Macaca fascicularis: one gene and its partners. Each later gene encodes a partner of the first gene's protein in a complex. Links are inferred from orthologs where the notes say so. Each region holds a gene or a part of one and is shown in the gene's direction. Other genes may lie near its edges.

Region 1 (2,592 bases):
GTAGAGGGAACAGCTTGTACAAGAAAATGGGTATGGGCACAACAGGTAACACGGAGAAGTACAGTTGTCCCTCAGTATCCGTGAGTGATTTGTTCCATGACTCCCATGGATACCAAAACTAGAGGATGCTCAAGTCCCTGATATAAAATGGCTTGTATTTGCACATATGCACATTCTCCTGTATAGTTTGTCTCCAGATTATTTAACAATACCTAATACAATGTAAATGCTATGTAAATAGTTGTTATACTGTATTGTTTAGGGAATAATAACCTTAAAAAGTCTACACTTCAGTACAGACTGACTTTTTCCCCAAATATTTTCAATCGGGTCGGTTGAATCCACAAAACCCACTGAATGGAAGGGCCAAGTAGGGTGCAGTGAGGCCTTGGAGGAAGGATATCAAAATAAGTGGCTAGAGAGGAAGGAGGAGCTTGAGGTGGAAGCCGGAATGTGTGGGAATTGGTGCTGTACTTGCTCACCAAGCACCCTGGTTAGAGCTGAAATAACTCTTTTATGCCACAGACTCCTAAGAGACATAGCTGGGACCAGAACTTGTGCCTGCCGACTTCTGGGAAATCCATCCCTGGTTGTGAAGGGATGGCTGTGCTACCATGATAGCTTTGGAAAACAGGGAGAGTTTATTTTCGGGGCTGCTTGTAGTCCAGTCCTACTTGGGTTTCCCATTTCCCATCAGCCCCAAGCCACCCACGGATGCTCCCCACCTCCCAGACATCACCCTCCACTAGGTCCCCAGATCACTTTTAAAACGCGACCAGGGGCCTGGCGCAGTGGCTCACGCCTGTAATCCCAGCATTTTGGAAGTCCGAGGAGGGAGGATCACGAAATCAGGAGTTCGAGATCAGCCAGGCAAAGACAGTGAAACCCCATCTCTACTAAAAATACAAAAAAAAAAAAAAAAAAAAAAAAAAAAAAATTGGCCTGGCGTGGTGGTGTGCGCCTGTAATCCCAGCTACTGGAGAGGCTGAGGCAGGAGAATCGCGTGAACCCAGGAGGCGTTAAGTTGCAGTGAATCGAGATCGCGCCATTACACTGCAGTCCCGGTAACAGTGCGAGACTCTGTCTCAAACAACAAAACGAGACCAGGAGTTCCAGAAGCCTACGAGCACGAACTCCCAAGACCACAAGTCCCAGCATGCAAGGCTCCCTGTTGGAAAAGGGCTTCCCATAGCCACCAAGTGGACCATCATGCAAAGCTCTCTGACGGGGCGGGGCTCTCTACAGGGGCGACACACTTGTGGCGTCGCCTCGGCAACTCCAATTCCGTGACAGAATGTGCTTCCGCTTCCGCCTTTGAGCCCTATGAGCGAGACTTACGCTACTTAGTCGTCGTGACGCCATTCTTCTGCGACGGCGCGGGCCGGGAGCTTCCGCACGGTGGCCTCACTCCCGCGTGAAACGCCAGAGCGGCGATTTGTTGTCTGCGTCCTCTGTCCTGGGAACTAAGGGGAAAGCGGCGAGATGACGGACCGCTACACCATCCACAGCCAGCTGGAGCACCTGCAGTCCAAGTACATCGGCACGGGCCACGCCGACACCACCAAGTGGGAGTGGCTGGTGAACCAACACCGCGACTCGTACTGCTCCTACATGGGCCACTTCGACCTTCTCAACTACTTCGCCATTGCAGAGAATGAGAGCAAAGCGCGAGTCCGCTTCAATTTGATGGAGAAGATGCTTCAGCCTTGTGGACCGCCAGCCGACAAGCCCGAGGAGAACTGAGACTCTGCCTTACCACCACTGTGCGGGGCACCTCTCCCAGTGTTCCTCAGGTTGGCCAATCCCTTCGACTATTTCTGCCTCCAAAGGACCGGCTCTCCATGGCTCCTGCGTCTGGTACTTCCGCGTACAGAAGTGCTTGCCCGGGGAATCCCGCCTGACCTGCCTTCATGTGAACCCTTTGGAATAGCACTGGGAGACCAGCAGAACCCCTGAGAACTGTGTTGGTGAAGAGGGCCTAGAGCCGGCAAGCGTTTGAGAAGAGGGCGTGGCGCTGGAATGAGATGGGATTTGGCGTCTCATTTTTGGCTAATTGATTGTCATTGGCTTTTTCCATAAAGTTTAGAAATCATTCACTCTCTTGGTGTGAACTTCCTGTGTTAGGGTGGAGGGCTCCTGAAAGACCCGAGCGGGAAATGGGTCGGGGGAGGGAGTGCATGCCAGTGTCCATGATCAGGTACTTAAATCCACCCTGTCTACCATTATAATTAATTCCCCGACTGCCACTTCTCCCAAGAGCGTTATTTTCAGGCCCACAATGCCTTCAGTATTGAAGTTTGTGGTTATTGTATCCCATTTTCTTTTTCTCCCGTTTTAAAAGTCTTTGCAGTCTTTGCTGTCATTGTCCTCCTTAGCCTCTTTAAAATGCATCCTTTCTTTTTCTTGGGAATTTGTGGCCATGTCTCCAGAAATGACAAGCTGGCAAGTGAGTTCATCCTTTCTATATTCAACAAATATTTGTTGAGCTCTATGTGACAGGCATTTTCCCATGGTCTTGAGGCTTACATTATGCTGGTGGTGGAGAAAGGAGGTCAAACACTGTAGACGTAATAAGTAAATGTTAGAAGATGC
Region 2 (4,286 bases), on another chromosome or scaffold:
TTTTGGATCCAGGAAAAAATATTTAGCAAAGTTTAAGTCTAATAAAACTCACATTACCTGTATCATAAAAATGCACACAAATTCAGTTCTCCGAGTTCCTACCAGGATGCGAACTTCATGAAAAAGAAATATAATTTAGAAAAACTAACCCAAACTATTAAAAACTATTGTTATCGTTGAAACCATAGATTCACACAGCTGGTACGTGGGGAGCCAGGATTTTCTAGAAGTAGTACTCAACTGCTATGTTTAGAAGTGAAGGTCACTGGAATAGTGAAATAATTTCTTCTGGGAAGGTTTTCCCCACCCTCAAGCCTGGGTTGTGATATTTATGGTTACACTAATGAGTTCCTTATTATTTTAAATGAATTAATATTTTTTAACGGCCGCTTTAATTTTTGTGCAGAAATATTGGTAAGTATAATCCACAAACGTTTTTTGGGGTCTTCAATGTTTTCGTGTAAAGAGGACCTGGGACCAAAAAGTTTGAGAACTGCTGTCCTCCAGCATCTCATATCTGTCATTTGCCAACCATCCTAATTCTGTCTCCCCTGAGCTGTGCCTGTCTTGTCGACTCCTGGGTCGCCAGAGCCTCGTGCAGAACCCTGCACTTAGTAGGGGCTGGATAAATACCTGCCCAACTTAAAAATATGGACCTTTTCATTTTCAGCAATGAGTGTAATTCCTGAAAACAAAGTTCTGTTTAGAACAAAAGTATGCTGTGTCTTTCTAAAACAATGACAAAGAAGCGGAGTTTGCCGGCCAGTAAAGCTGGTGTTTACACTGGGATGTTTACATTTATGTCTAAGTTTCAAGTTCGCAGCTCGAGCGCCACTGAATCCTGCAGTACAAGAGGCAGGCAACTGCAGCCCCTCCCATCCTTCCCATGGAGTCAAACTCCAGCCAGAGGAAGGTATGAGACCGATAAAGGAGAAGGCTGACACCAGAAAAAAAAAAGTTGGCCCTTTTACCCCTCATTCGTTCATTCATTCGCTCATTCCGCATTAGACACCAGAGCCGGTGCCAGGAGCTTAGGTCACCAAGAAGAACAATATCCGGTGTCCATCCCAGGGAGTCGGAAAGAAACAAGTAAAAGACACGGTTCCTGCGCGGGGGAGGGGCCTTTGGGCGAAGGAGGCGCGTCGTTTTCTCGAAGCCAGAGATATTTGTCCTGCCCGCCCCACCCACTCCCCCAAGATGGCGTCCTCGCGACACCCGCCCGGCCACCTCCGCGAGGGAATATTCCCACGCCTTCCTTCCGTCTCCCTCCCGGGCCGGCCGATTCGCCGGGAACCCCGCGGACCTCAAGGCCCTTGAGGCGTCAGGGGATCCCAGTGGCCCTCGCCCCGCCCCAAGGCCGAACCCGGTGGGCGTCGACGCCCGGCAGTAGCGCTCCCCCCTCTCCGGCGCCCCGCCTCCCCGGGTCTCGCGCCGCGTGCCGGCGTCGGCGCCTTTTGACGCCACAGTGGGCGTGTCGGCGCGACCCGCGACGTCGCGACGCGCCGACAATGGCGGCTGCGTTGGCCTGAGCAGGGCTTAGTTTACAAGTAATATCCTGACGTTGCCGAGGGAGCCGCAGTCGCCTTAGACCCGGTCGGCGGCGGCGGCGGCGGCGGCGGCGGCGCGCCTGCGCGCTCCCGCAGCGCCCTGGACCTAGCGGCGGTGCCGAGGCCCAGCGGAGCAAGCCAGGTGGGCGGCGGCGCGGCCGAGCTCCCAGCATCAGCGCGCGCGCGCGGTGGGCGGGCAGAGCAGGGGGCGGTGCGGCAGCCGAGCGGCCCCGATTTCCCGGGGACTGCTGGGGCGCCGCGGGGAGGCGGGCCGGGGGGCGGCGGGGCGCGAGCAGAGCGCGATTGACCTCCCTTTTTCTGCTCAGCTCCAGCGTCATTTCGGCCTCTTAGTTCTTCTGAACCCTTCTCCTGAGCTGAGTAGGAAACATGAGCGGCAGCAACTTGGATGGGAACGATGAGTTTGATGAGCAGTTGCGAATGCAAGAATTGTACGGAGACGGCAAGGATGGTGACACCCAGACCGATGCCGGCGGAGAAACCGATTCTCTCGGGCAGCAGCCGACGGACACCCCCTACGAGTGGGACCTGGACAAGAAGGCTTGGTTCCCCAAGGTAGGAGAGTGCCACGGGCGCCACTGCAGAGCGGGTCGCCTGGCCAGCCTCGCGGAGCACTCCTCTTACGTTTGCTTTGCTGAGATCCTTGGTCCTTGGTCCTAGCCCCCTTGGATAGCGGCGCTTCTTTTTGTTGTGTTTGTCGGGGCACCGATGTGTGAAGGAACGTAAATCTTTAGGGTGGTGTCTTAAATGTAATTTTTAAGTTTTTTCTATGCTTTATTAATCTTGTCTGTGAAGGTCACAGTTGGTAATTACATTGATGACTGCTTTTTATTGCGAAGAGGAAAAACACCAAGAGCAAATTTAGTAGCTGTCCATTTCTGGTAGCCGACCCCACTTGTCCTAGGAACTCAGATGTTTAGCTTATGTACTATGTGCAAAATGCAGTTTCTTGATTTTTTTAAAGTAGCTGTTTACATATCTTTACTAATTGAACTTTCTTTGCACCTTGCTTTACTTTCCTAGCAAATTTTGTCCCTAAGCATATATGTTTGAACCATATAACCACAGGAATAAGACTGGAGACGCACAGAATACAGATGGAAAATATCTGTGTATATTTGTTTGGAGTACTTGGAAATTGCTAAGTATTTTTATTTCAGCTTCGAAGTAAAATAAGTAATGTTAAACTTGGTTCTGTAAACTTTGTGGTAAAAGTGCCCTTTTAATCTGGCTCTCATGAGCAGGAAAGGGCACACTAGTAGCACGCAAATTGACTTGCAAGCCAATAATACAAAACCTGTCTCCATTGCGCGACTGGACGGCTGTTTTAAAAATTCTTTTGCAACTTTTCTTTCCCATTCTGTATTTGTATACATATTCCAATGCCTCCAGATTGTTAAAATTTACGATTTCACTTCTGTATTGGTAGTACTAGTTTTGAGTGCAGATTTGGTTTCTTCAGCATTCTGAATACTTTTAACAAAGGTGTGATAATGGATTAATGTGTGACTTTATCTTTTTATGTTATTGAAGCCCATACCTCTTCAAACTTTGGGTTTTACATTTTCCCCATTCCATGCGTGCCTAATGTTGATTGGTATGATGGTATAACTATATTTCTTTAGTTTTGCAATAACGCTTTTCCCCCAAAGGGGAGGAAGATAGATATGAGTTGGATTTGTCTTTAATTTGTTCTGTTACTAAAAGATAACGTCTTAATTTGTGATAAAGTTAAAATGAGCATTTAGTTTTACAGTTGTTAACTCCATTCTTTATATACCAAGTCAGAGTTCTGTTCTACGTGCTCTCTGCATACAGATATTTAAGTACTTATTGTACACGTATATTTGTGCATGTGTACAGTAAGAGAAAAGTGGATTCTGTGGTTAGATTATTCATTGACTGTTGGTTTTTATTGTTTTATTATCTGGTACTTCCTTTGTTGTATGTATTTGTAGCCTTAGTTAAGTAGACTGTAGAGAGGTAGTAATTTATAAATGAAACAACTAGAAAAGGTGCCAGCATCACTTAAAATGCTTTAAATCATATCTCAGACATTTGCATTGATCGTCTAAGTACTCGTGTCTTATTTTTTATCACCGCATGCACAATTTTCTATATAAGATGACTATTGCATTTATACTCTAATAACTACAACTATTATCCACAGAAACACTTCTGTTTTAAGTTGTGTAACCATGCTGTAAAAACAATTTAAACTTCTTATGGGTGGAAATAATTTTGAATTTCTCTGTCTGGGTCTGCTGAATTGCTTGTTTAGATCACTGAAGATTTCATTGCTACATATCAGGCCAATTATGGCTTCTCTAATGATGGCGCATCTAGTTCTACCGCAAATGTTGAAGATGTCCATGCTAGAACTGCAGAGGAACCTCCACAAGAAAAAGCCTCAGAACCCACTGATCCCAGAAAGAAGGGAGAAAAAAGAAAGGCTGAGTCAGGTAAGTGGTTCTGGCTTACAAATTTTAAGTGTAAAAATTAAAAATATGGGTGTGCATATGTACAGTTGCTTTTCCGAGAATTATAATAGCTTTGAAGGAATAAGGTGAGTTTTTTCTTAAAGGTGGTGTCAGAGTTATAAAGAATCAAGATAAACTGGCCATCATTTTTCCCAGATAGGGCTCTAAAACTAATTATTTGTCAAAAGATTTAAATCCTTTGAAAGCTGGGTAGTGATTTGAGTTAGTTTATCTTGGTCTT
Region 3 (3,500 bases), on another chromosome or scaffold:
TCTCTGTCTTTATTTTTATTCATATGCCTTTGATCATAGAGGTTAAGGTCTGTGTACTTGGGTAGGTGAATGTCAGATGATTCGAGGCCCTTTGCTTTCCTATCCTCATAGCTGTCTTTACTGATTGGAACACTGCTAGACCTAGCCCAGTTGGATGGAGGGAAAATTTTTCACTTTTATACTGAACGATATGTCTAGGAGCTTCGTTTTTTTTTGAGACAGAGTTTCACTCTTGTTGCCCAGGCTGGAGTGCAGTGGTGCGATCTCACTACAACCTCCTCCTTCCAGTTTCAAGCGATTCTCCTGCCTCAGCCTCCTGAGTAGCTGGGATTATAGGCACCTACTCCACACCTGGCTAGTTTGTTTTTTTGTTTTTGTTTTTTTTTTTCGGTATTTTTAGTAGAGAGAGCTGCGTTGACCAGGTTGCAAACTCCTGACCTTAAGTGATCCGGTGATCCACCTGCTTCGGCCTCCCAGAGTGCTAGGATTACAGGCATGAGCCACTGCGCCCGGCCTGGGGTTTCTAATTTTCTTAATTCTTACAACTTCTTGTGAATACTTTTACTACAATGGCTTTTTCCAGGCTTCCCAAACTGTATTTCAGGTTATAATATTAATTTTATTGTTCTGCTTCTTCCAGAGTACCAAGTTCGATCCATAGCAAGTCATGTTCGTCCTGACAGACAGAGTATGTATGAAGCACCTTCGTTAAACCAAATTTGTACTAAAAAGGACACTTATTTATTTTATAAGCACTCAGAGTTATGGAAGTAAAAATGATCATGTGTGTATTGGTGAGAACCGTAACGAGGGAGGTAATGAGTTTATCTGAGCTGGACAGGATCTTAGCACTAGATATAACTTGTTCCTTTTTATAGATGATAAAAGCAAGCCTCAGAAATTAAATAAGCTGCCCAAAATTATACAGTTTTATCAGCGGGTAGAAGCAATGATCAGTACAGATCTGCTGATTTGAAATCAAGAGTCTTTTTCTGAACCATGCTGACAACTTGTCTTAACTAAAAATGTAATAAAAATAGAATAAGAGCAAATCTTTCTCTAGTGAATCAATTTTTAAACTAAATTTAAAGCTCAGGTGAGCTTATGTAAAAAAACTGAATAATCTTGAATGCCAAAGAAGCTTAATGGATATTCATAAAGATATACTGTTTCTCTAACAGAATTTATCTTATCTTGTAGCTCTCTTATTTAGTGCAACTTTTCGGAAAAAGATTGAAAAGTTGGCCAGAGACATCCTGATCGACCCTATTCGAGTGGTGCAGGGAGATATTGGAGAGGTAACCCTAAACAGGGCTGGATGGGACCTTAATGTGTTTATTTCTCATATTATGGAACACAGAATTAATTTCTCACTATTGAGATAAAAAAAGATGTTATGTTTATAGATGCAACATGCTTGAGATTTGGTATTTTGCAAGTTGTGGGGATACATGAAAGAGGACTGGCAAAATATTGGGAATCATAGAAGCTAGATGATGGGTACGAGTTGATTTTGTTCATTTTGCTTTTCTGTTTGTTTTACTGAATGTCTCAAAACTTTATAATTGTTTTAAAAAGGCTTCAAAGAGACAAAAAGATCTGCCTGGAAGCATACTACAGTGTGTTAGGTTGGAACTGACGTTTTAATTATTGTGGGAGGGGCCTACACAGGAGGGAAAGGGTGACCTGAAAGGCCTGGCAAAAATCAGGTTTCATTTCTTACCTGTACATATGCGCTATATGGAAAATTTCTCTGAATTGGGACTTGGAATTCAGTTATGGCTGCTTAAGAATCCTTCAGTTGCTTGCCATGGTTATTGTTAAGGAAAGCTCTAGAAAGTAGTGGGGCATACAAATTAGGTATATACACCAGGCGGAGAGCAAGGTGATTGAAAAGGAGAGGTGAGTTTTGAGCTGCACTTGACTTGCTGAAGGAAGGCCCAAGGAGAACTGGATTGTTGAAGGTCTTCTCGATGCAGGTAGAAAATACAATGCTAGTCCTTGTTTAGGTGGCCTGTGACTCCAATGTCACAATCATCTGTTTCATTTCTTCCTTCTCAGGCAAATGAAGATGTGACACAGATTGTGGAGATTCTCCATTCTGGACCTAGTAAATGGAACTGGCTTACCCGGCGTCTGGTAGAGTTTACCTCTTCAGGGAGTGTCCTCCTCTTTGTTACTAAAAAAGCCAATGCTGAAGAGCTAGCGAATAACCTTAAACAGGAGGGTCATAATCTTGGGCTGCTCCATGGGGATATGGATCAGAGTGAGAGAAACAAGGTCATTTCAGACTTTAAGAAAAAGGACATCCCAGTCCTGGTGGCCACAGATGTTGCAGGTAGAGTATGAATTTTTCAACAACATTAAGTTCCTAGGCTATAAGGGTACTCTGTCTTACTGTATAAGACGTGTAATATCTGAGCAGGCTGATGGAAAGACTATTGGCCTGACTGGCCATCCCCTCCCAAACCCCCAAGGAAGCAGCAGTTCAGCACAGGGATCACAGTCTGGAGCTCTAGACACCACTTTTCTTTTTTTTTTTTTTTTTTTTTTTTTTTTTTTTTTTTTTGAGACGGAGTCTCGCTCTGTCGCCCAGGCTGGAGTGCAGTGGCCTGATCTCAGCTCACTGCAAGCTCCGCCTCCCGGGTTCACGCCATTCTCCTGCCTCAGCCTCCCGAGTAGCTGGGACTACAGGCGCCCGCCACCTCGCCCGGCTAGTTTTTTGTAGTTTTAGTAGAGACGGGGTTTCACTGTGTTCACCAGGATGGTCTCGATCTCCTGACCTCGTGATCCACCCGTCTCGGCCTCCCAAAGTGCTGGGATTACAGGCTTGAGCCACCGCGCCCGGCCGACACCACTTTTCACTTAGTGTCTCTCTCTGATCAAAGAATCCCTGCAGCGGCTGGGCGCAGTGGCTCAAGCCTGTAATGCCAGCATTTTGGGAGGCCGAGACGGGCGGATCACGAGGTCAGGAGATCGAGACCATCCTGGCTAACACGGTGAAACCTCGTCTCTACTAAAAAATAGAAAAAAGTAGCCAGGTGAGGTGACAGGTGCCTGTAGTCCCAGCTACTCAGGAGGCTGAGGCAGGAGAATGGCCTAAACCCGGGAGGTGGAGCTTGCAGTGAGCTGAGATCCGGCCACTATACTCCAGCCTGAGCGACAGAGCAAGAATCTGTCTCAAGAAAAAAAAAAAAAAAAAGAATCCCTGCAGCTAGAAGTCACTGGGGGAAAAAAGGCAATGAATGCCCTTATTGTATGTCTGAATATAGTAGATATCTTACATTGATCTACTATACACAGCTTAGTTGGGCAACTTCACTCAGGATGAGAACAGTTTTTGGAATATTATTTCTGCTTTGTTCTGTCAAGTTTTAATAACTACCCTTAAACACTGATATTCCCAGAAAGGAGAGAACTTCTCAGCTTCATGACACATTTTAAAAATATATTCCCAGTGCAAGAGAAGAGGGCATGGCAGATTCTTGATGCAAAAGATA
Region 4 (4,260 bases), about 94 Mb from region 1:
TGAAGAGATTCTCCTGTCTCAGGCCCGGCGCGGTGGCTCACACCTGTAATCCCAGCACTTTGGGAGGCTGAGGCAGGCAGATCATGAGGTCAGGAGTTCGGGACCAGCCTGACCAACATGGTAAAATCCCGTCTCTACTAAAAATACAAAAGTAAGCAGGGCGTGATGGCACGTGCCTATTGCGCCTGTAATCCCAGCTACTCCAGAGGCTGAGGCAGGAGAATCACTTGAACCTGGGAGGCGGAGGTTGCAGTGAGCCAAGATCGTGCCTCTGCACTCCAGTCTGGGCAACAGAGCAAGACTCCGTCTCCAAAAAAATAAAAATAAAAAATAAAAGATTCTCTTGTCTCAGCCTCCAGAGTAGCTGGGACTACAGATGCACACCTCCACACCTGGCTAATTTTTTGTAGAGATGGCAGGGTCTCACCATGTTGCCCAGGCTGGTCTCAAACCCCTGTTCTCAAGAGATCCTCCTGCCTCAGCCTCCCAAAGTGCTGGGATTATAGGAAGAGCCACTGCACCTGGCCTTGCTTACTTTTAAATAAGCAGCCACCAGTGATTTTCTCAAGATGTTAGCAAAAATGCAGAAAACAGTTTGCCTGTTCCTTAGTTTGGAGATTTTGTCTTTAACAATTTTCCCCAGTTCCCCAGTTTCTTCCTGCCTAGAGGTCTTCCCTTATGCCTGACCTGTCTTCACTCCTGCTGCAGGCAAACCAATCCTAGCAAAGGTCACTTTTTTGTTTGTTTGAGACAGAGTCTTCCTCTGTCGCTCAGGCTGGAGTGCAGTGGTGGGATCTCGGTTCACTGCAAGCTCCGCTTCGCAGGTACAAACGATTCTCCTGCCTCAGCCTCCCGAGTACCTGGGGCTGCAGGCGCACGCCACCACACCCGGCTAATTTTTATATTTTTAGTAGAGACAGGGTTTAGCCATCTTGGCCAGGCTGGCCTCGAACTCCTGACCTCAAGTGATCTGCCCGTCTTGGCTTCCCAAAGTGCTGGGATTACAGGCGTGAGCCACCGCGCCCGGCCAACACGGCTAATATGCTTCATGAGCATGGACCCCATCTTCCAATCTGAAATAGAATTTCGGTTGTCCCTTACTTTGTAGAGTTTTTGGCTCTATAAAACTTCCATACTTTATTTATTATGTATCCTGTCCCTCCCCCACCGCAAAATGTAAATTTGGTAAGGAACTTTTGATTTGTCCTCTGCTAGATCCCAGCGACGGAAAGCAATGAGCACACATTAGGCCTCCATTAAATTGATTTCACTTGTTGAATGAATGCGTTAGGGAAGCACTCACGAACTGACCATCAGGGGGCGTCAGAGAAACTGGATAGAGGCGGAAATGAAGAAAAAAGAATTACTCCGAACTTTCAGGCATGGTTCCGCGAGGTTTGAACTCGCTCGGCCACCGTAGTGCTTAGAGGCCGGAAAAAGTGCAGCCCCTTCCGGGCTTTGCGGTACCGGACGACGGCTTTGGGATGTCGGAAATTGATCCTAGAGGTCCCAAGGTAGCCGCCTTGCGAAGCTGAGGCTCCAGCCGAGGGCTCCAGGCCTCCGACCGGCCCAGCAGTGAACGGGGCTGCCCGACGCTTCAGGGCTGGGAGCAGGGAGCGTGGGTCGCCATGGCGACGCCGGCGGGGCTGGAGCGCTGGGTTCAGGACGAGCTGCACTCGGTGTTGGGGCTGAGCGAGCGGCACGTCGCCCAGTTCCTGATCGGTACTGCACAGCGCTGCACGTCGGCCGAGGAGTTCGTGCAGCGCCTACGAGACACTGATACTTTGGATCTCAGTGGACCGGCCCGGGACTTCGCCCTGAGACTCTGGAACAAGGTGTCGGCAGGGTGGGGAGGGGTCCTGTGATTTGTCCCGATGAGGCTGGCCTAACGGTCCATCGAGGAGTTAAGAAAGCTCAGTTCACAAGCACTTATTCTTTGTCCGTTGTCGCCTAGGTACTGTGCTAGCTGCTGGACGCCCAGCTCAGTGGAGAAGATTGAGGAGGGCTTAGGTGTGTCGGGTTAAACGCAATAGAACGGTGTTTTTCGAACTCTTAACATGCATCCAGGGCCCTTGTTAAAATGCAGATTGCGATTCAGTAGGGATCTTAGTTTCTGCATTTCTTTCTTTTTCTTTCTTTCTTTCCTTTTTTTTTTTTTTTTTTTTTTGAGAGACACAGCCTCGCTCGCCCTGTCGCCCAGGCTGGAGTGCGGTCATAAGATCACGGCTCACTACAGCGTCGATCTCCCTGGCTGAAGCGACCCTCCCATCTCATCTTCCCCAGTAGCTGGGACTATGGGCATGCGCCACCACCCCCGGCTAATATCTTTTATTTTTATTTTTATTTTTAGAGACGAGGCCTTGGTGTGTTGCGCAGGCTGGTCTCTAACTCCTCAGCTCAAGCAGTCCTCCTCTCTCAGCCCCGCAAAGTGCTGGGATTACAGGCGTGAGCCACCTTGCCCGTCCCCCCTCAGCTTCTGAACTTCCTTTCAGCCGTTTAATTAACAGAGGAGGCCCGGTGCAGTGGCTCACACCTGTAATCCCAGCACCCCAGAAGGCTGAGGCAGGAGGATCATTTGAGCCCAGGAGTTCGAGACCAGCCTGGGCAACATAGTGAAACCTCCCTACAAAAAATTTAAAAATTAATTGGGCGTTGTAGTGTGCACCTGTGTTTCCAGCTACTTAGGAGCCTGAGGTGGGAGGATCACTTGAGCCCAAGAGGGACAGAGTGAAACCCTGTCTGTAAAAAAAGCCAAAAAGCTGTGGGCCCCATTCAGGATGATAAACATGGGGTGAAGCCATGAGGAAGACAGAATGAAGGCTGGTTAGCTGGTTTAAAACTAAGTAATTGTGCCCGGGTGCGGTGGCTCACGCCTGTAATCCCAGCACTTTGGGAGGCCCAGGCAACTGGATCATGAGGTCAGGAGTTTGAGACCAACCTGGCCAACATGGTGAAACCTCATCTCTACTAAAAATACAGAAATTAGTCAGGTGTGGTGGCAGGCGCCTGTAATCCCAGCTACTTGGGAGGCTGAGGCAGGAGAATTGCTTGAACCTAGGAGGTGGAGGTTGAAGTGAGCCGAGATCACACCATTGCACTCCAGCTCCGGGTGACAGACCAAGACTCCATCTCGGCGGGCGGGGGGAGACTAAGTAATTGCTTAAATTAGGAACAGAGCTAGAGCTAAGTGGGAGGGCAGAGATCAGGAGTTGCTCAGACCTCCTTATCTTCCCCTCTACTGACAGGTACCACGAAAGGCAGTGGTAGAAAAGCCAGCGCGGGCAGCAGAGCGAGAGGCCCGAGCCCTGCTGGAGAAGAACCGATCTTATAGGTTGTTGGAAGACAGTGAAGAGAGCAGTGAGGAGACTGTGAGTAGGGCTGGAAGCAGCCTCCAGAAGAAACGTAAAAAGCGGAAACACCTCAGGAAGAAGCGTGAGGAAGAGGAGGAAGAAGAGGAGGAAGAGGCTTCTGAGAAAGGGAAGAAGAAAACAGGGTAAGTCAGAAGCAGGGCGAGGGAGGATGGGGCAGGCTGAAGTGTGCTCAATGCCCTTATTTAATCCCCTGGATGGGCTGCAGGGGGAGTAAACAGCAGACAGAGAAGCCAGAGTCAGAAGATGAGTGGGAACGGACAGAGCGTGAGCGCCTTCAGGACCTGGAGGAGCGTGATGCCTTTGCTGAGAGGGTTCGACAGCGGGACAAGGATCGGACTCGAAATGTCCTGGAGCGGTCAGACAAGAAGGTGAACAGGAGCAGCACGTTCTGTAAATCCCCAAGATCCCAGGGTGAAATGTGAGGTTGGCTGTGATTGCAGAGATGGTGATCTCTGGGAAGACAAGGGGCTTTCTCTAGTGAGATGTTCCCCTCTGTGGGGAGAGATGAGGTGAGAGAAGCCCTGTGCATCCTGTGGCTAAGGCAACTCTACTGTACCTGCAATCATACAGATCCCTCACTGAGAGGGGACATTTTTTGTGTTAGGGTACATCTGAATGATCCTTGTGATTCTAAAGAGGAGCAGCTGTCAGTGTGGGGGCTCTTTGGCCTCACACCCCTCTATTCTTGTTTTTTTTTTTTCTAGGCTTATGAAGAAGCTCAGAAGCGCCTCAAGATGGCCGAGGAAGACCGGAAGGCCATGGTGAGTCCCAGGGCCCAGGGACCCAAGATCAGAAGACAAAAGGGAAGACCGTCTGATAGAGTGGTTACGTATAGGGAGAGAGAATACAGAGGAAGCACGGTGTGGATGCTGATGGAGTGGTCAGGTCT
Region 5 (4,193 bases), on another chromosome or scaffold:
CTTCCTTCCTTCCTTCCTTCCTTCCTTCCTTCCTTCCTTCCTTCCTTCCTTCCTTCCTTCCTTCCTTCCTTCCTTCCTTCCTTCCTTCCTTCCTTCCTTCCTTCCTTCCTTCCTTCCTTCCTTCCTTCCTTCCTTCCTTCCTTCCTTCCTTCCTTCCTTCCTTCTTTCTTCTTTCTTTCTTTCTTTCTTTCTTTCTTTCTTTTTCTTTTTTAAGACAGAGTCTCGCTCTGTCGCCCAGGTTGGAGTGCAGTGGCGGGATCTCGGCTTACTGCAAACTCTGCCTCCCGGGTTCAAGCAATCCTCCTGTCTCAGCCTCCTGAGTAGCTGGGACTACAGGTGCCACCACCAGCCCGGCTAATTTTTGTATTTTTAGTAGAGACAGGGTTTCACCATATGAGTCAGGCTGGTCTCAAAGTCCTGACCTCAGGTGATCCACCAGCCTAGGCCTCCCAAAATGCTAGGATTACAGGCATGAGCTACCACGCCTGGCCAGTAGGCACTTTATGTCTATTATTTACTATTGTAGACAACTGACACTCCTTCCCCCGCCCCCGACCCTGACTTTTTCTTTTTTAGAGACGGGGTATCGCTCTGTCACCCATGCTGGAATGCAGTGGCGCAATAAGAGCTAAGTGCATCCTCGAACTCCTGGGCCTCAGGCCATCCTCCTGCCTCAGCCTGTGGGCTAAATGAAACTACAGGTGCACGCCACCACACCTGGCTGATTATTTCTAAATGATTTACTTCATCAACACTTCCCACATGAGTAGGGCACACAGTAGGCGCTCCATAAATACTTGTCAAACGCCTACACGAAGGAATCAATGCCTGGCAAGAATGAATCCACCTTCCACCATGCCTACCTCGCTAAAAACTACATTTCCGGCCGGGCGTGGTGGCTTACGCCTGTAGTCCCAGCACTGTGGGAGGCCGAGGCAGGCGGATCACGAGGTCAGGAGATGGAGACTATCCTGGCTAACACGGTGAAACCCGTCTCTACTAAAAATACAAAAATTAGCCGGGCGTGGTGGCGCATGCCTGTAGCCTCAGCTACTCGGGAGGCTGCAGCAGGAGAAGCGCTTGAACCCGGGAGGCAGAGGTTGCAGTGAGCCGAGATCACACCACTGCACTCCAGCCTGGGCAACAGAGCAAGACTCCATCTTTAAAAAAAAAAAAGAAACAAAAACAAAACAAAACAAAAAAAACTACATTTCCCTGTGCACTTGGCGCGACGCACTCCCACGACGTTTGAAAGAGCGACAATTACTTCCCACGGCCCCTTACCGCCCCCTCCCGCCGGTGCCACAGTGGTTGATGGGAAGGTAGTTTTTACGCACTTTGGCCGGCCCCTAGCCATCTGAACCCAAACTAAATTTCCCAGCAAGCAGCGCGCAGGCCTGGGAAAAGGGGCAAGATGGCTGACTCCGAAGAGGGTGTTTTGCCGCTGACGGCTGCTTCCACTGCCCCAATTTCATTCGGCTTCACTCGCACGTCCGCACGGAGGCGGCTGGCCGACTCGGGAGACGGCGCGAGGCCATCTCCGGAGGAGAAGGATTTCTTGAAAACCGTGGAAGGGAGGGAGCTGCAGAGGTGACGCGCCGGGTCTTTCACACCTTGGAAATCGCTGCGGTGGGCGTAAGCGGGAGGGAGGAATCTCACTCAGTCGTTTGTCTTGGTGACAGTGACCTGTTAAGCCTGAAGCACAGCCTGAGTAAATTCGTGGAGGCCAGAAGGCTGGAGTTTATAAGAGGGGTGGGGAAATTGGGCCTGATAGCCGTGGGAATTGCGAAGAGAGGATGTATCACTGAGAAGAAGTGTCTTTAGGACTTGAGGACACTGAGGTGTGTGCGTTTTGGGAGAAGGAAAGAATGAGAAAATGACAGGACCTGCTAGTGTCTCAGCTGAAGTGGTGGGGCTTCTCTGATATGGGGAACGGGATGGAGCGGCAGATTCAGGTTGATGGAGGCCACCATCAGCTTAATGAGGAGAGGAGAGTCTGAGGGAGGGATTTCCAGAAGAGAATCAGGCATCTGGGAAGCTGTTTGGGAACCTGGAGCTAGGGAGGGTCTAGGCTGAAGATAGTGATTTGTGGGCCATTGTGGAAGCCGGTCTTGAGTTAAACAGAGAGTCCAGGACTTATTTCTCGAAGGCACTGACATTTACGAGTTGGGGGCACTGGGGGGGATAATCCAAAGAATGCACGATCAGAGAGGTACAGGAGATCCAGACATGGAGTAGAGAAGGCATGGTCTGTGGGGCTGGGGTGAGTTTGGCTCTCGTGTTTTCTCTGAATAAAGGAGTGTGACCCACTGACACTGCCATTCTCCCAACCCCACCCCTCTGTGTCCACATCAGTGTGAAGCCCCAGGAAGCCCCCAAGGAACTCGTCATCCCTTTGATCCAGAATGGCCATCGCAGGCAGTCACCAGCCCGGCCCCCTGGGCCATCCACAGATACTGAGGCCTTGGCAGATGGGGTGCTGTCCCAGGCTGTGAAGGAGCTCATTGAGGGTGAGTGATGCCCCTTTACCCTTCCCCAGTGAAGGAAGAAGATGAAGAAGGTGGAAGGATAGAGTGGGACTTCATTGCTCCCTCCTATTCTTCCCTTAGAATCCAAGAAGTCTCTGGAAGAGAGAGAGAATGCGGGTGTCGACCCCACGCTCGCTATCCCCATGATCCAGAAAGGATGCACCCCCAGCGGGGAAGGGGCAGACAGCGAACCCCGGGCAGAGACAGTGAGCTGGCCCCTTGTCCCCCTCCTGCCCCAGCCTTTCTTTGCCCTGTCTGCTAGGCTTTGTCCCTGCACATAGCAGGGAAAGTCTGTGTGCTAGAGGCCCGCCACCTGTCCTTTCTCCTGTCATCCTTTTTGGAAGCATTACCAAATGAATCTGGATATCTGGATGCTAAAAACGTACTTGAATCCTAGGATTATCTGAATGAGGTGTGCAGCAAAGGGAACAGGAAATGTAAAGGCCCTGAAGGTAGACACTGCCTAGAGTGTTTGCGGAACACCAAAGAGACTAGTGTGACTGAAGTGGAATGAGTGAGGGGAAGGGATAGTAGACGAAGTCAGAAAGGAGATGGGGGTGCTAGACAAGGCAGGGCCTTGTAGGCCATTGTGAGGACTTTGGCTTTTACTCTGAGTGGGATGAGAGCCTAGGCAAGCCCTGAGCATAGATGAAATATGATTTATGATTTGACAGCATCCCTCTGGCTGCTGTGAACAGACTCATTAGTGAAGGTGGAAGCAAGGGGATGAGTAGTCCAGGCTAGAGATGCTGGGGACTTAGACCAGAGTGGTCTGGAAGGATAAGTAGGGTTTAGTGAGAGGGAAGAACAGAGTGAGTGTTCCTGTTGGTAGTAACAGCCCAAGCAATGGCATAGTGGCAGAAAATCGATGTGGTGTGTGTCCATCAGTGAGGCAACATGTGGTGTGTCTGGAGTGAATGGGAAGGAGTGATGATGGAAGGTGACGAGGAGATGTGAGAGGCGTGTCTACAGGAGTAACCAAGTCTGTCTTTCATACCCACAGACCTGACTTTTCACCTCTTCTTTCATAAATTTCTTGCATTGCTTCTTTGGAGTCTAGTTCTCCTACAGCCCCAGAACACTCTCTTTCAACTGAACTGTTCTCTTCAGCCTTCAGATGTGCTCTGATTTCCTTCAACTTTTTTTTGTTTGTTTGTTTTTTGTTTTTTGAGACAGAGTCTTGCCCTGTGGCCCAGGCTAGAGTGAAGTGGTACGATCTCGGCTCACTGCAACCTCCCGCTCCCGGGATCAAGCGATTCTCCTGCCTTAGCCTCCCAAGTAGCTGGGATTACAGACACGTGTCACTACCGCCTGGCTAGTTTTTGTATTTTTAGTAGAAACGAGGTTTCGCCACGTTGGTCAGGCTGGTCTTGAACTCCTGACTTCAGGTGATCTACCCACCTTGGCCTCCCAGAGTGCTGGGATTACAGGCATGATCCACTGTGCCCAGCTCCTTCATCTTTAAAGAAAAAAAAGATCCTCACTTCCCTCTTCATCCTTTCATCCTGTTCCAGCTTTAACCTCATTCCTCTAATTTTTCCCTCTATAAACCTCCTCCTGCAGCTTTATACATATCAGGTGACCAAAAATTCCATCCATCCTTCCTCTCACTCAGCATAAAAACCTTGGAGTCGGCCGAGCCTGTAATCCCAACACTTTGGGAGG
Region 6 (3,500 bases), on another chromosome or scaffold:
AAAGCATTGGTGTGGGAAGAAGTCTTCATTAAAACATTCTGTATTTACACAAACACACACTTGCTTTTTCTCTTTACTTGTTTTTGAGTTGTAGGGTGGGAGGATGGGTCACTATAGAAAAAAAGTAAGGTGACTTGCTGGATTATATGCTTAATGTTGAGGGAGTTTGGAAATGGCCCTGGTATACAAATTTATAGGCTTGTCAGGAACTAAAATGTACTCCCTGATATTTTGTAACAAAAACAATACCTGACATTCGTTGGCTACTTAATAAATATTTGTTGAATGAATGGAAATCTTTATCTTTTGACTGTATTCTCAATAGCAAACGTTCATTCATAGCTTTGCCTTTTTATGCCTGCCTGACTCTAAGGATTGATAATACTTTTTTCATACTCAAATAAAATGACATCACTGAAATTCCACTACAGGTATAGCGTCAGTTACGACAGCTATAGCTACTGCTTACAATAGATGTTTATACACACATAATCTAGCATTAAAAAATTTTTTTCCCTTAATTTTTTTTATAAGACAGGATCTTGCTGTGTTGCCCAGGCTGGTCTCAAACTCCTAGGCCCAAGCAAGCCTCCCAAGTACCATGCCTAGCTAATTCTAGCATTCTTTATAATGAGGAACAATGAGGTTTCCTAAATTGATATTAAAATAAGGAAAAAATAATAGAATAATTTCTTATGGCTGCATAATAAAATTATAAATTCTTTATTTTTGTTTGTTGCCTACAAATTTTCTTTAAAATAGTGTTATTGGCTGGGCGGAGGAGATCACCTGAGGTCAGGAGTTCGAGACCAGCCTGGCCAACGTGGTGAAACCCCGTCTTTACTAAAAATACAAAAATTAGCCAGGTGTGGTGGTGGGCGCCTGTAATCCCAGCTACTTGGGAGGCTGAGGCAGGAGAATCACTTGAATCCAGGAGGCGGAGGTTACAGTGAGCCAAGATTGTGCCCCTGTACTCCAGGCTGAGCAAGAAGAGCGAAACTCCATCTCAATCAATCAGTCAATAGTATTATTTAAAAAAGAAGACAGATAATTTTCTCTTCATTTTACGGAACAGGAAAACCAAGACACAAACAATCTCACTGTTTACCTGACATCACCCAAATATGCAACAGAGCTAGAATTAGAATCAATGTTTACTTTTTCTGATTTTTGGTATGGTACAGTGCTCTTGATTTATTTAACCTTTTATATATTTTATATATATATCTGACCTTGTTCAGTTTTAGACTCTCAGGTGCCTATATGAGGGAAATTAGGAAAGGGCAATGTAAGGTTGGTTTTTATAAGTTCATTGTCACAGTAGTTCATGGTATTTAGTTTGTCACATTGAAGCTTTGCTGGATGTGACTCTAAGCTGGCAGAGAAATCTTGCAAAGTATCTTTTTGAAATTAGTATCACACCCAGCTGCATTCTGTTGTAAATTACCAACATTGAGTGTGACATTTTTCCTTCCTGCCTCCTCAGCTAGCCCCAGTTATTGGGATTTAGATGTATTTTCCTGCTTGAAAAAGAGAAGAGCCTTAACAGGTAGCAGTGTGTCGTGTTGGACTTCGCCTATCCAGGAAACAGCATCTGTCATTGATTGACGTGATACTAATTTCAGCTGGGTGCCCACGAGGCCTCTGACCGATAGTTGTTTTGGTTGGTTTGTTTATTTGGATTTGTTTTGCAGTTCGTGTCTGGGATGTCCGGCCATTTGCCCCCAAAGAGAGGTGTGTAAAGATATTTCAAGGAAATGTGCACAACTTTGAAAAGGTGAGTTCTGCTTGGCAGAGGAGTTTTACTGTTCATTTACTTCAGAGAAACATTTAAGGTGGTACTAAGGATAGAGAGCAGTAGCTCTGCTAAGAATGGACTTCATTCCTGTAACACTGCTCTTAATCAAAACTTGTTGCCAAAAATAAAGCTAATAGAAATAATAGTGACTGGGGAGAAGCCAGTCACATAGCCCAAAAGGAATGGAGCCAGCCCTCAAACTGAGGGCATCTGACTTGACACCACCCTCAACAGGACACTCCTGGCCTTTTAATTACTTGTAAATTTTACCCTCCTAAATCAGTTTTCCATATGGAACCCAAGCTCCCATAGCTGTTACCCGGATGGTCTCCCTACCTGCCTCCCCATCCTGTGACCACGTGTTTTAGAATCCTAAGAATACATCTCTCCCCTCAGTAACTACCACGGCCCAAGTTCTGAGAGAGAAAATTTTTTTCAAACCCTCAAATTTCAAGGTCAGCTCTATTGAAAGAAGCTTTTCCCCTGAGAGAATTTGTTAATAGAGATTAATTTTTTTTTTTTAAGAGCTCATTGAGATTCAGTTTCACTGTATAAATCAAATTTTATTTTTTGGACCTGGCACAGTGGCTCACAGCTGTAATCCCAGCACTTTGTGAAGTCAAGGTGGGAGGTCAGGAGCTAGAGACCAGTCAGGGCGACATAGTGAGACCCTGTCTCTACAAAATATAAAAAATCTGGTTGTGGTGGCATGTGCCTGCAGTCTCAGCTGCTTGGGAGGCTGAAATGGGAGGATCACTTGGGCCCAGGAGGTCAAAACTACAGTGAGCTATGATTGTGCCACTGTACTCCAGCTTGGACAACAGAGCAAGACCCTATCTCAAAAAAAAAAAAACAAAAAAACCCCAAAATTTATTATTTGTTGGGTTTGTGTGTATTTTTCTTAAAGATAGTTAGGGAAAAAAAAAAGAATAATGAGTATCAAGATAAATGGAGCAAAGGGAACCTCCATTTATAAGTAGAACAAAATTTTGTTGTCAGGTTCAATCTAATTAACTGTAAGTTAAGCATTTTCTACAGTTTTTATATGGTGTAAAATAACAAAGTATGCTATTTTGAGCATAGAATATAAGATAATTACTGACCATCTTCCTGAGAAGAATAATTAAAACTCTACTTAGGAAATGTAAAGCCTCTCAGTGATTCTGCAGCCTTGCAAAGAGGAGTTTGGTATATTACTATTCAGTGGATTCTTATTTATTATAGAACCTTCTGAGATGTTCTTGGTCACCTGATGGAAGCAAAATAGCAGCTGGCTCAGCCGACAGGTAAGGATTACTGGGTGCAAAGTAAAGAATGATGTAGCTGGCCAGATGTGGTGGCTCGCGCCTGCAATTCCAGCACTTTGGGAGGCCGAGGCGGGCGGATCTCCTGAGGTTAGGAGTTCGAGACCAGCCTGACTAACATGGAGAAACCCCATCTCTACTAAAAATACAAAATTACCTGGGCGTGGTGGCACATGCCTGTAATCCCAGCTACTTGGGAGGCTCAGGCAGGAGAATCACTTGAACCCGGGAGGCAGAGGTTGTGGTGAGCCGAGATCGCACCATTGCACTACTCCAGCCCGGGCAGCAAGAGCGAGACTCCATCTCCAAAAAAAAAAGAATGATGTAGCTATGCAGGATGTCTTCTTGTGTTTGATACATAAAGCGTGGATATGGAGCTAGAGCAGACATAGAGTTAT
Region 7 (3,500 bases), on another chromosome or scaffold:
TTCTCTGTTCCCTTCTCTTTCCTCTCACCTTATTCCTCTGTTAAGTTGTCCCACTGCTCACTGATGCTTTTCATTTTTCTTTTTTTTTTTTTTTTGAGACGGAGTCTTGCTCTGTTGCCCAGGCTGGAGTGCAGTGGCCGGATCTCGGCTCACTGCAAGCTCTGCCTCCCGGGTTCACGCCATTCTCCTGCCTCAGCCTCCCGAGTAGCTGGGACTACAGGCACCCGCCACCTCGCCCAGCTATTTTTTTGTAATTTTTAGTAGAGACGGGGTTTCACCGTGTTAGCCAGGATGGTCTCTATCTCCTGACCTCGTGATCCGCCCGTCTCGGCCTCCCAAAGTGCTGGGATTACAGGCTTGAGCCACTGCGCCCGGCCGATGCTTTTCATTTTTAAAGAAATTCTTCTCTCTTTGTATTTCACTTTAGAAAATTTCTATTGCTATGTGTTCAAGTTTACTATTATTTTCTTCTGTAATTTCTGGTCTAACAGTAATCCCATACAATATAATTCTCCTTTCTAGAAGTTTGATTTCAGGTCTTTTAAATCTATTCTTTCTCTCTTAACTTTTTGAACATGTGGAATGCAGTTATAACAATATTTTATTTTTATTTTATCTTATTTTATTTTATGATGGAGTCTTACCCTGTTGCCTAGCCTGGAGTGCAGTGGCATAATCTCGGCTTATGGCAACCTCTGCTGCCCAGGTTCAAGCGATTCTTGTGCCGCAGCCTCCCAAGTAGCTGGGACTACAGGTGTGTGCCACCACACCCAGCTACTTTTTTTGTATTTTTAGTAGAGACAGGGTTTCACCATGTTGACCGAGCTGTTCTTGAACTCCTCAGGTGATCCGCCTGTCTCAGCCTCCCAAAGTGCTGGGATTATAGGCATGAGCCACCACACCTGGCTGTAACAACATTTTAATGTATTGTCTGCTAACTCTAACATCTGTGCCATTTCTGGGTTGATTGCCATTAGTGGATTCATTTTTCTCATATGGATTGTATTTTCCTACTCTTTTGCATGCCTGGTAATTTTTTTTTCTTTTCCTTTTTTCTTTTGAGAGAGGTTCTCACTGTGTTGCCCAGGCTGGTCTTGAACTTCTGAGCTCAAGCAGTCCTCCTGCCTCAGCTTCCCAAAGTGCTGGGATTACAGGTGTGAGCCACCAGACCTGTCCAGTGCCTGGTAATTTTTTACTGAATGCTAGGCTTTGTGAAATTTACCTTGTTGGGTCCATGATATTTTTGTATTCCTGTAGATTTTCTTCAGCTCATTCAGGAATATAGTTATATGGAGCTAGTTTGATCCTTTCAGGTCTTGTTTTTGGGGTTCTTGAGGCAGGACTGAAGCAGTCCTCCCCACTGTGAGGCACAAGTGCCTGTGGACTCTACCCACCGCCCTGTGAATCAGGAGGTTTTTCCGTCTGGCTAGTGGGAGTTGCACTATTCCCAGTTCTGAGTGAGCAGCAGGTGCTGTTACGAATCCTTTCGGGTGCTTCTTTCCCTGTCCTTGGTAGGCATGTGCTGCTTAGTACTCCCCTGCATACTTGAGGACCTTCTCTAGGTCTCTTGAGTTCTCTCTCAGCTCTTTTCTTCAGTACTCTATCCTGTGAACTCTAGCTGCCTTGATCTCCCTGGACTTTCAGCTTCATCCTCCCAACTCATGGAGTCCTCAGGGCTCTCCATGCGTCTTCCCTCTGTTCTGTGGCCTGCAAACTCTTGGTGCAGTATGCTGGGGCAGTTGAAGGGCTCATTGCATTTGTTTCCTATCTTGCAGGAATCACTGTGCTTTGTTGCCCCATGTCTAGTGTCTTGAAAACCACTGTTTCATATATTTTGCCCATTTTTTGGTTGTTTCAGGCAGGAGGGTGTATCTGGTTCCTGTTGCTCCTTGTCAGGAAGCAGAAGTCTCAAGCTTTGCATATTCAAGGAAGAAAAATAAAGAAGGGTACTGTGGACAGAGTATAGTGAGGAGGGCTTGGGTAAGGGATCAGGCTATGAACCCTTTAGGTCATGGTAAGGAGTTTAGATTTTATTCAGATAATGATCAGAAGCCTCAGAGGGTTTTGAGCAAAGGTCTGACAGGACCTGCAATCCATTTTAAGCCATTTTCTCTGGCTCTTGTGTGGAGAATAGATTGTCACCTCTTCCAGTGGGAGAGGTGGAGATGATGGACACAGTCTGGGGTAATAGTGGTAGAGGTGCTCTTATTCCTAGTGTAATCCTTGAAATTAGTGGTGAAACTGGCTGTGGATGGCTCTTGCGTCGGAAGGCCTGAAGTGTGAATTACGTACATGAGAACTCAAGGCATGACATTCTTCGGGTGGGAACTGTTGTCACCTGCTCTCTCTTGCTAGCTTCTCTGTACCAAAGTTCTCTTGGAAACTTTGAGCCTCTCTGACCTTTTGACCCTTCTGTACATGTGGGAGTCCTGGTCTGTGATCCCCTAACTTGGTTTAGGGGGCCCCTTAGCTCCATCTGTGTTCCCTGGAGTCAGCACTGTGCCACCCTCCCCTTCCCCCTGCCCAATTATTTTCTGTCATGGGCTTCCATGAACTGCAGAGGCTGCATCCTTGGGGAGCTCAGAAGCTCTCCAAGGCGCTGAGTGGAGGTGCCACCTGTATCTTTTGTTTCTGCTTCTGGAGACCCTTTTGTCCCTTCCTTTTTGGGCCTGATCCCATTGTCCTTCACAGAAGTGAGACACCTCAGCTCTTCACCGTGTTGCCAGAGAAGAGAACAGCCACTGTTGGGGGAGCCATGATGGGATCAACCCACATTTATGATATGTCCACGGTGAGTACTTGGAGGACATACTGCTTTTGGAGGCTGAGAAGGGCGGCAGAAGCTAGGGCTTCTCTGACTCTCTTTGGAGGTGACAAGGCCCTGATCTCCTTTCCAGGTTATGAGCCGGAAGGGCCCAGCTCCTGAACTGCAAGGTGTGGAAGTGGCGCTGGCGCCTGAGGAGTTGGAGCTTGATCCTATGGCCATGACCCAGAAGTATGAGGAGCATGTGCGGGAGCAGCAGGCTCAAGTAGAGAAGGAGGACTTCAGCGACATGGTGGCTGAGCATGCTGCCAAACAGAAGGTAGGCGCTTCCAGGGGCGCTGGGCTGGGTGAGAGCCAGGGACCCTGGCCTGCCGTTTTCAGTGGTGTGGTGCCCTCTAGTGGTGAGAGTGAGGGTGGCCTCTGCTTGCTGCCCTGTGCGCTTAGATTTGGAAGTCTTAGAAATCCTCCAGTGGGCTGCCCTCTTTAAGGACGATGAGGGGGAGGAACTCAGCCAAGTCTGAGAGGGAGCTCGAAGAGAATCCAGATTCAGCACCTTTCCCACAGACTTCTATGTCTATGTCAGGCTGCCCACCCTTGTTTTGGGGGTCTGGGGGTGGTTCAACCTGTTATAACCTGTGTCTCTTTCTCCCTATGCAGCAAAAGAAACGGAAAGCTCAGCCCCAGGACAGCCGTGGGGGCAGCAAGAAATACAAAGAGTTCAAGTTTTAGGTCCCCT

The links.
Region 2: SF3B5 (region 1) and HTATSF1 share a complex: the UniProt entries of both Homo sapiens proteins name them as parts of the 17S U2 SnRNP complex. The link is inferred for Macaca fascicularis from reciprocal best matches to the Homo sapiens genes SF3B5 and HTATSF1.
Region 3: the proteins of SF3B5 (region 1) and DDX42 are in contact, whole or in part, in a cryo-EM structure (PDB 7EVN), measured with the Homo sapiens proteins. The link is inferred for Macaca fascicularis from reciprocal best matches to the Homo sapiens genes SF3B5 and DDX42. Residues at the interface, in NP_112577.1 of Homo sapiens: Arg4, Tyr5, Thr6, Ser9, Gln10, His13, Leu14; in NP_031398.2 of Homo sapiens: Asp156, Ala159, Tyr160, Phe161, Tyr163, Met164, Asn167.
Region 4: SF3B5 (region 1) and DHX16 share a complex: the UniProt entries of both Homo sapiens proteins name them as parts of the minor spliceosome. The link is inferred for Macaca fascicularis from reciprocal best matches to the Homo sapiens genes SF3B5 and DHX16.
Region 5: SF3B5 (region 1) and GPKOW share a complex: the UniProt entries of both Homo sapiens proteins name them as parts of the minor spliceosome. The link is inferred for Macaca fascicularis from reciprocal best matches to the Homo sapiens genes SF3B5 and GPKOW.
Region 6: SF3B5 (region 1) and SNRNP40 share a complex: the UniProt entries of both Homo sapiens proteins name them as parts of the minor spliceosome. The link is inferred for Macaca fascicularis from reciprocal best matches to the Homo sapiens genes SF3B5 and SNRNP40.
Region 7: SF3B5 (region 1) and SF3B2 share a complex: the UniProt entries of both Homo sapiens proteins name them as parts of the SF3B subcomplex of the 17S U2 SnRNP complex. The link is inferred for Macaca fascicularis from reciprocal best matches to the Homo sapiens genes SF3B5 and SF3B2.

Annotation. Positions count from the first base shown.
Region 1 is NC_088378.1:48,298,912-48,301,503, reverse strand, and holds SF3B5 (splicing factor 3B subunit 5), read left to right. Parts: upstream 1-1,406; 5' UTR 1,407-1,482; coding exon 1,483-1,743; 3' UTR 1,744-2,092; downstream 2,093-2,592. UniProt on the Homo sapiens protein: Component of the 17S U2 SnRNP complex of the spliceosome, a large ribonucleoprotein complex that removes introns from transcribed pre-mRNAs.
Region 2 is NC_088395.1:142,629,579-142,633,864, forward strand, and holds the start of HTATSF1 (17S U2 SnRNP complex component HTATSF1), read left to right. Parts: upstream 1-1,486; 5' UTR 1,487-1,689; intron 1,690-1,873; 5' UTR 1,874-1,934; coding exon 1,935-2,120; intron 2,121-3,846; coding exon 3,847-4,027; intron 4,028-4,286. UniProt on the Homo sapiens protein: Component of the 17S U2 SnRNP complex of the spliceosome, a large ribonucleoprotein complex that removes introns from transcribed pre-mRNAs.
Region 3 is NC_088390.1:70,316,136-70,319,635, forward strand, and holds part of DDX42 (ATP-dependent RNA helicase DDX42), read left to right. Parts: intron 1-640; coding exon 641-688; intron 689-1,200; coding exon 1,201-1,298; intron 1,299-2,061; coding exon 2,062-2,338; intron 2,339-3,500. UniProt on the Homo sapiens protein: ATP-dependent RNA helicase that binds to partially double-stranded RNAs (dsRNAs) in order to unwind RNA secondary structures. Unwinding is promoted in the presence of single-strand binding proteins.
Region 4 is NC_088378.1:141,982,364-141,986,623, forward strand, and holds the start of DHX16 (pre-mRNA-splicing factor ATP-dependent RNA helicase DHX16), read left to right. Parts: upstream 1-1,460; 5' UTR 1,461-1,628; coding exon 1,629-1,835; intron 1,836-1,954; exon of another isoform or gene 1,955-2,010; intron 2,011-3,245; coding exon 3,246-3,493; intron 3,494-3,576; coding exon 3,577-3,739; intron 3,740-4,075; coding exon 4,076-4,132; intron 4,133-4,260. UniProt on the Homo sapiens protein: Required for pre-mRNA splicing as a component of the spliceosome. Contributes to pre-mRNA splicing after spliceosome formation and prior to the first transesterification reaction.
Region 5 is NC_088395.1:49,285,877-49,290,069, reverse strand, and holds the start of GPKOW (G-patch domain and KOW motifs-containing protein), read left to right. Parts: upstream 1-1,393; 5' UTR 1,394-1,414; coding exon 1,415-1,590; intron 1,591-2,355; coding exon 2,356-2,510; intron 2,511-2,609; coding exon 2,610-2,734; intron 2,735-4,193. UniProt on the Homo sapiens protein: RNA-binding protein involved in pre-mRNA splicing. As a component of the minor spliceosome, involved in the splicing of U12-type introns in pre-mRNAs.
Region 6 is NC_088375.1:203,742,177-203,745,676, forward strand, and holds part of SNRNP40 (U5 small nuclear ribonucleoprotein 40 kDa protein), read left to right. Parts: intron 1-1,694; coding exon 1,695-1,777; intron 1,778-3,022; coding exon 3,023-3,084; intron 3,085-3,500. UniProt on the Homo sapiens protein: Required for pre-mRNA splicing as component of the activated spliceosome. Component of the U5 small nuclear ribonucleoprotein (snRNP) complex and the U4/U6-U5 tri-snRNP complex, building blocks of the spliceosome.
Region 7 is NC_088388.1:8,324,392-8,327,891, reverse strand, and holds part of SF3B2 (splicing factor 3B subunit 2), read left to right. Parts: intron 1-2,691; coding exon 2,692-2,791; intron 2,792-2,897; coding exon 2,898-3,083; intron 3,084-3,421; coding exon 3,422-3,493; 3' UTR 3,494-3,500. UniProt on the Homo sapiens protein: Component of the 17S U2 SnRNP complex of the spliceosome, a large ribonucleoprotein complex that removes introns from transcribed pre-mRNAs.